2 linked regions of the Canis lupus familiaris genome follow. The protein of the gene in region 1 purifies or fractionates together with the protein of each later gene. This does not show direct contact. Links are inferred from orthologs where the notes say so. Each region holds a gene or a part of one and is shown in the gene's direction. Other genes may lie near its edges.

Region 1 (4,280 bases):
AAATGTGTCCTGCAATCCTTTTTAAAAAAAGCCTTGGTCCATTCTGAAAGATCAACATTGAATTTTTAAAAATCAAAAGAAAAGTTTTTTCCCACAAAAATACACGAAGAACCACTTGCTGGCATTTATATTTTGAGTGCCTGGGATAACAGGCCGGTGTTCAAAGGCAGTTCATAACAGGTTGTACCAGGACTCGTTGCATCTGATTTAGCACCAAGTAAGAGTAAATATCCCACTGAAGATGTAGCTGATTTTTTCATCCACCTCTCATCGCCCCACTCTTCCTGCCTTTTTTTCCTTTAGATAGTTCTAATGCCACACTGCACAGGTGGTAGATGCCCTACCAAACATTGGCTCTAGATCTGCCATGTATTATTGGAGTCTTTAGTTAAGACTAGATGTAGAGTGACAGTGCTCTGGAATTTCAGGAAAGTGGAAAGTAGAAGGGCTTCTAGTATGCAAGGAACTTCATTCATTCATTCATTCATTCATTCATTCAGGGACTGGTATTTTTGAGCTACTCCTCACTTTACATCTATCTTCTAGCTTATCAGTATAGGTCTTACAACCCTACAAATGTTACCATTTTAAAGATGAGAACATTGCCTATAGAAAGGCTAAATTGCTCATGCTAGTAGGTGAGAATCTCAAATTCCAACGCAAAGTCCCAAGCGTAGACCCGCCAAGTCATCATGTTCATTCTGCTCTTTGCGAATGGCCCACTTGACCCGATGCGTTCAGAAGGAATTCAAGACACCTTTGCAGCCCAGGTGGTGCCAGAAAACAAACAGGCTGATCCCCGGCGCCCCAGGTCAGGGGTTTTCAGGGGGAACACATGCCTTTAAGGATGACAATTCACACCACCCTACAAGTGATGGGGCTGGGGGGGGGGCAGTCAGCTAGAGACAGGAGCAAGAAGTAGGAAGAGGAGCCAAGAGGAGCTGTCACATTGGTGTGAGGATGAGGAGTGAAGTCTTTTATCCTCCACTTAGGCTGGTGGACACGACTATCCAGCGTGCGAAGCTCGGCCTGGGCCAGCTTCATTCCTCATCGTTTCTCAGGAACTAAGTTTTAACCCTTTACCTTAAACCTGGAAAAGACTAAAGCAAGCGAGCCGTGCGCTTCAGACTTCAGCGGAAACTCGCAGGGGGAACCAAAAACTTGGGCCGGCCGGGCGACAGCGACGCGAGGCCGGTTTCGAAGAGCGGCCGGGAGCCGGGCGAGCGCGGCGGCCGGACGCGCCTGCCGCAGAGGGTGGGTGGGGCCGCGCTTCCTCCCAGCCCACGCCGCCTCCGCCCGCCACGTGACCCGCCGTGTTGTGGTCCGGCCCGCGTGGGTGGCGGGAGCGGCGGGAGGGCGGGAGGGCGGGGGCGACGGGGCCGGGTCACGTGACGGGGTTTAAATCTCCCGCAGCCGGAGCCGCGGGGGCGCCAGTGCCGCGAGTCGAGCGGGAGCAGAGGAGGCGAGGGAGGAGGGCCAGAGAGGCAGTTGGAAGATGGCGGACGAGGCGGCGCTCGCCCTTCAGCCCGGCGGCTCCCCCTCGGCGGTGGCGGCCGAGAGGGAGGCCGCGTCGCCGCCCGCCGGGGAGCCACTCCGCAAGAGGCCGCGGAGAGACTGTCCTGGCCTGGGGCGGAGCCCAGGCGAGCCCGGCGGGGCGGCCCCTGAGCGGGAGGTGCCGGCGGCGACCGGGGGCTGCTCCGCGGCGGCCGCGGCGCTGTGGCGGGAGGCGGCGGCGGGCGGGGAGCGGGAGGCCCAGGCGGCGGCGGCGGCGGCCGGAGAAGGAGACAATGGGCCGGGCCTACAGGGCCTCTCCCGCGAGCCGCCGCCGGCCGACGACTTCGACGACGACGACGACGACGACGAGGGCGAAGAGGAGGAAGAGGCGGCGGCGGCGGCGGCGATTGGGTACCGAGGTGCGCAGGGCGCGGGCGGCTGGGACTGCGCATCCCCTCCTCCCTCTCTGGGGCCCCTTGCGGTGTAGGGCTTTGGGGGCTCCGGGGGGCGGGCTGGGGGCTCAGGTCTGGCCTGCGGCGCCCCCTTCCCACCGCGGGCCTCGGCTGCGCTCCTCCCCGGCTGCCGGCGGGGCTGCGGGAGCGGCCCGCGCACCCCCTCCCTCCGCTCCCTTTTTCCCTCCCTCCGCCGCCCGCCTGCGCGGCTTTGCGCTTTGCGCAGCCGCCGGGCCGCGAAGCTCCCGCAGTTGGTTTTAAAGTAAGTTTCTCTCTCCTCCTACTCTCTTAGCTTATTGCCTTTGTTTAACATCTTTCGCTTTTCCGTATCCCCGCTTCCTTGCACACGTAAGTCTGCAACTTTTGCCCGTCCCTTTTCATCAACCTTTTGCAGTTGTCTTTGCAAACTGATACACCTGTGCAATTCACGGCTTTTTTTTTTTTTTTTGAGGGCCTTTATTTTTAAATTTTAAGGAGCAAAGCTATTTCTAAAGTCATAACCCACAAAATTTGAGAAGCATCGCTAAATTTCTGAAATGTTGCAATGAATGCGTATTGGGAGACTGATAGTACTTTAAGACTAGTAAAGTAGGCTTTTTTCTTTTCTTTTTTTAAAACATAAGATTGTATTTATTCATGAGAGAGAGAGAGGCAGAGACATAGAGGGAAAAGCAGGTTCTCTGCGGGGAGCATGATGGGATCCCAGGACCCCGGGATCACGACCTGAGCAGGTTCTCTGCGGGGAGCATAGGGGATCCCAGGACCCCGGGATCACGACCTGAGCCAAAGGTGGACTCTCCACCAACTGAGCCATCCAGGCGCCCCAATAGTACTTTTTTTTCCTAATTATATATACTTAGAATGTTTTTTAGATTAGATATAATTTTGCGTGTATGTGCGTATCTGATAACCCTGAAACACAAACTCATTTTTGTTGTTGTTGTTATGTTAAAGCAGATGTGTTAGTTGTGTATGTCATATCATCTTTGAGAGTTTTCATATTTTTCAGTCTGAGGAGTTTCTGTCGTGAATGTTCGTCTTTACCAGTAAATTCAATCTGGAGCATTTGATCATAGAAGTGCATTAAGTTCTTGATTAGTAAATCACTTATTGATTTCTGTAAACAGTTTAATATGGGAAACGAATAATGCAAATATATCTTTGGAAGTCTAGTATTATGTAAGAGAAGGGCAAATAATTGTCATGAATTTGAATGATTTCTGTTACATTTTTGACCAGTTTCATGAATTCCCATTACTTGTGATCAATAAGTTCAGTTTAGATTACCACTCTGTGTTTTGATTAAGTAAACCTAACTTATTCCTAGATTTTCATGAGCTGAAAGTTTTAAGATTCGGTGCAGAATGTGTAAAGATGTGCATATATGGCTCTTAGAATGGTGCAAGCTGACCCAGTAGGAAGTTTTTAACCTAGGTACTATGAATGAATGTTCAGTGGTTTATTCAGTGAAAGTCATTGCATCATAACTGTTACAGATTTGTATACATTTTATTTTATTTTATTTTATTTTTAAAGATCTTATTTATTCATGAGAGAGAGAGGCAGAGACACAGGCAGAGGGAGAAGCCGGCTCCTTGCAGGGAGCCCGACGTGTGGGACTCGATCCCGGGTCTCCAGGATCACGCCCTGGGCTGAAGGTGGCGCTAAACCGCTGAGCCACCCGGGGTACCCAGATCTGTATACATTTTAGAGGCAGATTGTTTCATCAGCCTTTAGTTACTTTGGTTTCTTTTGCAGATAACCTTCTGTTTGATGATGAAATAATCACCAACGGTTTTCATTCCTGTGAAAGTGATGAGGATGATAGAGCCTCACATGCAAGCTCTAGTGACTGGACTCCAAGGCCCCGGATAGGTACGGTTTCAGAGCTTTAGAGAATAATGTCTTTTTCTTTTTTGTATTTTTTTATGTCAATTAAAAATAGTTTTCTGTACCCTTATAACTTGATGAGGTTTTTAGGTGCTTCTTGAGATTTAGTGTCAGCTTGTGTTTCTACGGAAGGTCTAGTACTTTGTTCTTTTTGGTTTTAAACAGTTTAAGCCCCTGGAAGCTGGCCTCTGGTATTTCTCAATCAGGTCCTTCTCACACCACCAGTTCTTTTCACTTGTACCTCTCTGTGTGGAGTGCTTTTTCTCCAGCGTATCTTGCACTCTCTCAATTCAAGTCTGTTTTTTTTCTTTTCCTTAATACTTAATCACTTTTTTTTTAAGATTTTATTTCTTTATTCGTGAAAATACACAGGAGAGAGAGAGGCAGAGACACAGGCAGAAGGAGAAGCAGGCTTCATTCAGGGAGCCTGACATGGGACTCGAT
Region 2 (4,174 bases), on another chromosome or scaffold:
CAGGCGGGTCCTCGGGCGGGCTGCGGCGGCGGCGGCCGGAGCGCCTCTCGGTGGCCGGGGTTGCGCGCCCCCTCCTCGCCGCGCCCCGGGCCCGCGCGGAGTCGTGCGTCCTCCCCCCTCGTCCCTGAAGGGAAGCAACCGAGGTAGGCGCCGGAGCTGTGCAGCGGGGCGGTCGCCTTCCCGGTGACTCCGGATCTGCTTCCGAGCCGGGCCAGGCGCTTCCCTTTTCCCTCCCCGTGACTCGGTGTGCGCGCCCCCCTTTCCCTCCCGCTGCTGTTTTTAAAGGACTTGAGTGAAGGGGGGAAAACTGTCAAGATGGCAGCAGCGGGAGCAAGGAGGTGATGAACGTGCGGGTCCGGGTTTTCTGGCAGCCCGGGAGACTTGGCGCTTCCTGACCTGTTGGAAGATTTACGTTCCGACTCGCCCCCTCCCCCTGCCCTTTCCCGGGAAGGGGGGTGGGTGGGGGGGTGCGGGGTCCAACGCCCGCCCGCAAACCGAAGCACACAAAACCCCAAAGTGGTCGTTCCCGCTTGGCTCGACCCTTTGCAAACACCCGCCGAGCTGCTTGCCCCCCGCCCCGCCCCGCCCCTACCCCCACCCCCGATCCTCCCCTCCTCGCTTCCCGTCTGGTCTTTTTTTTTTTTTTTTCTTTTCTGGAAGTGACAAGAGCCCGTCCGCGCCCGGACCCACGTTCGTCCTCCTGGCCCCGCGCCGCCCCCCGGAGCCCGGGCCCCTGGCCCCTGGGCGCGGAGAGCGGAGTCCACGGGGGCGCGGGGGCGGCGGGCGCGGGGCGCGGGGCGCGGGGCGGAGCGGAAGGCGCCGCGGGAAGCACCCGCGCGGGGCCCGAGCGAAACATAAACAAACGCACGCCCGCCCCGGCTCCGACCGCGGCTCGGCTGCGCCAGCCCCGGCCGCTGCCCGCTTTAAAGGCGCGGCCCGCGCCCCTCCCCCGCCCCGCCCCTCCCCCTCCTCCCCGCCCCGCCACCTCGCCCGGGAGAGACCTGCCGAGCCGGCGGCCCCGCGCGAGCGCGTCCATTCGCTCCCGGCTCCCCGCGGCCTGGCAGGGGGCGGTGTCTGCTGCGCCAGGTCCGCGGGACGCACGTCTCCAGGTCTGCCTGTCTCCGGGAGGCGGCGGCGGCGGCGGCGGCGGCGGCGGCGGGCGCGGGGTGGCCGAGGGCTGGGCTGCCGCGCGGGTAACCAACTCTCTCCTCCGTGCTTCCCCAGGCGGCGGCAGGAGCGGCAGCGGCTCCCGGGAGCCCGAGCCTCCGCGGCGCCCCCGGGCCTCCCCCGCCGCACCCCGCCCCGGCGCGAGAGCGGAGCGCGAGAGCCCGAGAGCCCGAGAGCCCGAGAGCCCGAGCCGCGGGCGGGCGGGCGGGCGGGGAAGATGGCAGAGGCGCCGGCCTCCCCGGGCCCGCTCTCCCCGCTCGAAGTGGAGCTGGACCCCGAGTTCGAGCCCCAGAGCCGGCCGCGCTCCTGTACGTGGCCCCTGCAGAGGCCGGAGCTGCAGGGGAGCCCGGCCAAGCCCTCGGGGGAGACGGCCGCCGACTCGATGATCCCCGAAGAGGACGACGACGACGACGACGAGGACGGCGGTAGGGCCGGCTCGGCCATGGCGCTCGGCGGCGGCGGGGGCGGCGCGCTGGGCTCCGGGCTGCTCCTCGAAGACGCGGCCCGGCTGCGGGCTCCCGGGGGGCAGGACCCCGGGGCCGCGCCGGGCCCCGCGGCGGGCGCGCCGAGCGGGGGGACCCAGGCGCCGCCGCAGCCTCCGCAGGCGCTGGCCCCGCCGCAGCCGGGGGCGGCCGGGGGCTCGGGGCAGCCGAGGAAGTGCTCGTCGCGGCGCAACGCCTGGGGCAACCTGTCCTACGCCGACCTCATCACTCGCGCCATCGAGAGCTCGCCCGACAAACGGCTCACTCTGTCCCAGATCTACGAGTGGATGGTGCGCTGCGTGCCCTACTTCAAGGATAAGGGCGACAGCAACAGCTCGGCGGGGTGGAAGGTGCGTACCCACCCCGGGCGGGCGGCCGGACCCGCCGGGCCTCCTGCGCAGGGCGACGCGCGCCTGCATCCCGCGGAGCGCGCCCGCGGGCGCCGGGAGAGGGGTTGGCAGCGAGCGCCTCCGCTGTGAGGTTTCGGGGGAACCCGTGCGACCCCCCTCCCCTCCCCTCCCCTCCCCTCCCCTCCCCGGAGGAGGGGAACCTGGGGTCGGCCGCGGAGGGTGGGGCGGGAAAGGAGGCGCCCCCCCACCCCGGGGAGGCCTCGGGCATGGCCAGGTGAGGAGGAGGAGGAGGAGGAGGAGGAGGAGGAGGAGAGGGGGCAAGGGATGCCGGCGAGGGAAGGACCGGCGGACGGCAGAGCCTTTGCTGGATCCCCGGGACGGCACGGAGGAGGTAGGTCTGCGGCCAACTTCGAAGCAGGAATCACCGTCGTGGGGATGCGGGGAAGGCCCCGCGGGTGCAGTGAGAGGACGTGGGGGAGTGCTTGGGGCTCCTCCGGGGAAGGGGATGGATTTGTGCTTTGCAGTGCATGGTCGTCGTCGTTAGAGCTGCATGAGAAAAAAAAAACCCCTTGCGTCGAAGTTTCTGGCTTGTGGGTGTTGGTTCCCGCAGGCACAGCGATCCCATTAAAAAAAGCAGTGGTTGCAAACCTTTTTTTTTTTTTTTTTTTTTTTCCCCTGGCTGCCTTTCTTTTTCTTTCTTTCTTTTGGTTGCCTGTGTGGACACCTTTACTCCTTAGAGATGTTTCTGCAGTAAATCTGTCCCCCCCCCCCCGCCCCCCAACTTGGGATGTTTCGAGTCCCGGAGCGGGCCAGCCCTGCCACCTGAAGGACTGGCCACACCTGCTGCTCCCGCCGAGGCCTGGACTCCGGCGCTGTTTGAGGCCCGGTCCAGGTGTGGAGGGCTGAGGCCTGGAGCTTCACCTAGGCCTTTGGGAGGGAGGTGTGGTGGCGGGGCTGGGTCATAATGGCTTCTGCCTATAAATGAGCCAGAAGAGAGGCTCTCTACTGTTCCTTTTCAGCCTCTCGGGGCACTGGACACGTGGTAGGAGAGAGGTGTGGAAAGGCCTATGATGTAATGACTTCCTGCAGTTGGGCATCCAAACAGATTAACTCCTGTGCCCCTGCTGGGCTGCTGATACCCAGCTGCTTTGCTCTTCCTGGCACCTCATCCTCCTGGCCTCTTTCCCCAAGACGTGAATGTGTCAGTACCAGGCAGAAGGGTGCTTGCAGTTGGAGATACATATGGCTTATCAGTTGCTTCTCTTTGCAAGTTAGCTTTTTTTTTTTTTAATTAATGAGGTAGTTCCTTCCTCATTTTGTCCTTTCCTTACTGTCTTTGGGGAGCCCTGTATCTTCTTGGGTTCCAGTAGGTGTATTCAGTAAGAATAGTTTAATCTTGGTGGAGCACTGGAGAGGAACCTATATGTGAAAAAACTAAAGAATTTTGTGTATTGTCTTCATTTCCTTAAAAAAAAAAAACCCAAAACAAAACCCTTACAAAGTATCTGTTTTTTTTTTTTTTTAATTTCATATTGGCTAGTATTGGAGAGGACTTGCTGAGATACTTTAAAAGCAAAACTGTGCTTTAAAATTATTCCACATATCTGTCCCCTTTCCTTTAACAAATGCTGACATTATGAATCTTACATTTGCTCTAATTTTACAGCTTTGCAAAGGAATGCCAGTTGTGTGATATGAGGGCCATTTACAGAAAGCTTGAGAGTGAATAGCATTTCGAGGAAGTGCTACTGTGATATCTTTTAAAACAGAGTTTCAAAGTGAATAGCAAGGGTTAATCTCAAGGTACAGCATCAGAAAGGGGGGAGTTGCAGGATCTAAGAAAATGGATATAGGGGTTTGGAATATTTTTCAAATTTCTCAGCTTGAAATTAGTCCTGTATATTTTGAGTTTGCTGCAGAGAACTGCTAGTTAAAAGTTAGCTAACTTTTAACTTATAAAGTTAATGTTGGAAGGGTTTTCACTTTCCCTCTGATTTTTAAGTGTATGCGAGTAGTTCATAATCTTGCAAATAACATCTCTTGTTATTGTATTTAGAGTTAAATAACTTTTTTCTTTAACATCTAGGTGAGAAAGTAGTATTATCAAAAGTCGCCTTGAAACGTAACTCAGTTATATTTTCATGTAGCTTGCAGGACTTCCAGTAGAGATTTTAG

The links. The genes of interacting proteins can lie anywhere in the genome.
Region 2: the proteins of SIRT1 (region 1) and FOXO3 purify together in Homo sapiens (affinity purification with western blotting; 4 studies listed by BioGRID and IntAct, with this or other methods). This does not show direct contact. The link is inferred for Canis lupus familiaris from reciprocal best matches to the Homo sapiens genes SIRT1 and FOXO3.

The regions. Positions count from the first base shown.
Region 1 is NC_049225.1:19,900,462-19,904,741, forward strand, and holds the start of SIRT1 (NAD-dependent protein deacetylase sirtuin-1), read left to right. Parts: upstream 1-1,477; 5' UTR 1,478-1,495; coding exon 1,496-1,913; intron 1,914-2,189; exon of another isoform or gene 2,190-2,208; intron 2,209-3,704; coding exon 3,705-3,821; intron 3,822-4,280. UniProt on the Homo sapiens protein: NAD-dependent protein deacetylase that links transcriptional regulation directly to intracellular energetics and participates in the coordination of several separated cellular functions such as cell cycle, response to DNA damage, metabolism, apoptosis and autophagy.
Region 2 is NC_049233.1:65,900,854-65,905,027, forward strand, and holds the start of FOXO3 (forkhead box protein O3), read left to right. Parts: upstream 1-1,369; 5' UTR 1,370-1,384; coding exon 1,385-1,999; intron 2,000-4,174. UniProt on the Homo sapiens protein: Transcriptional activator that recognizes and binds to the DNA sequence 5'-[AG]TAAA[TC]A-3' and regulates different processes, such as apoptosis and autophagy.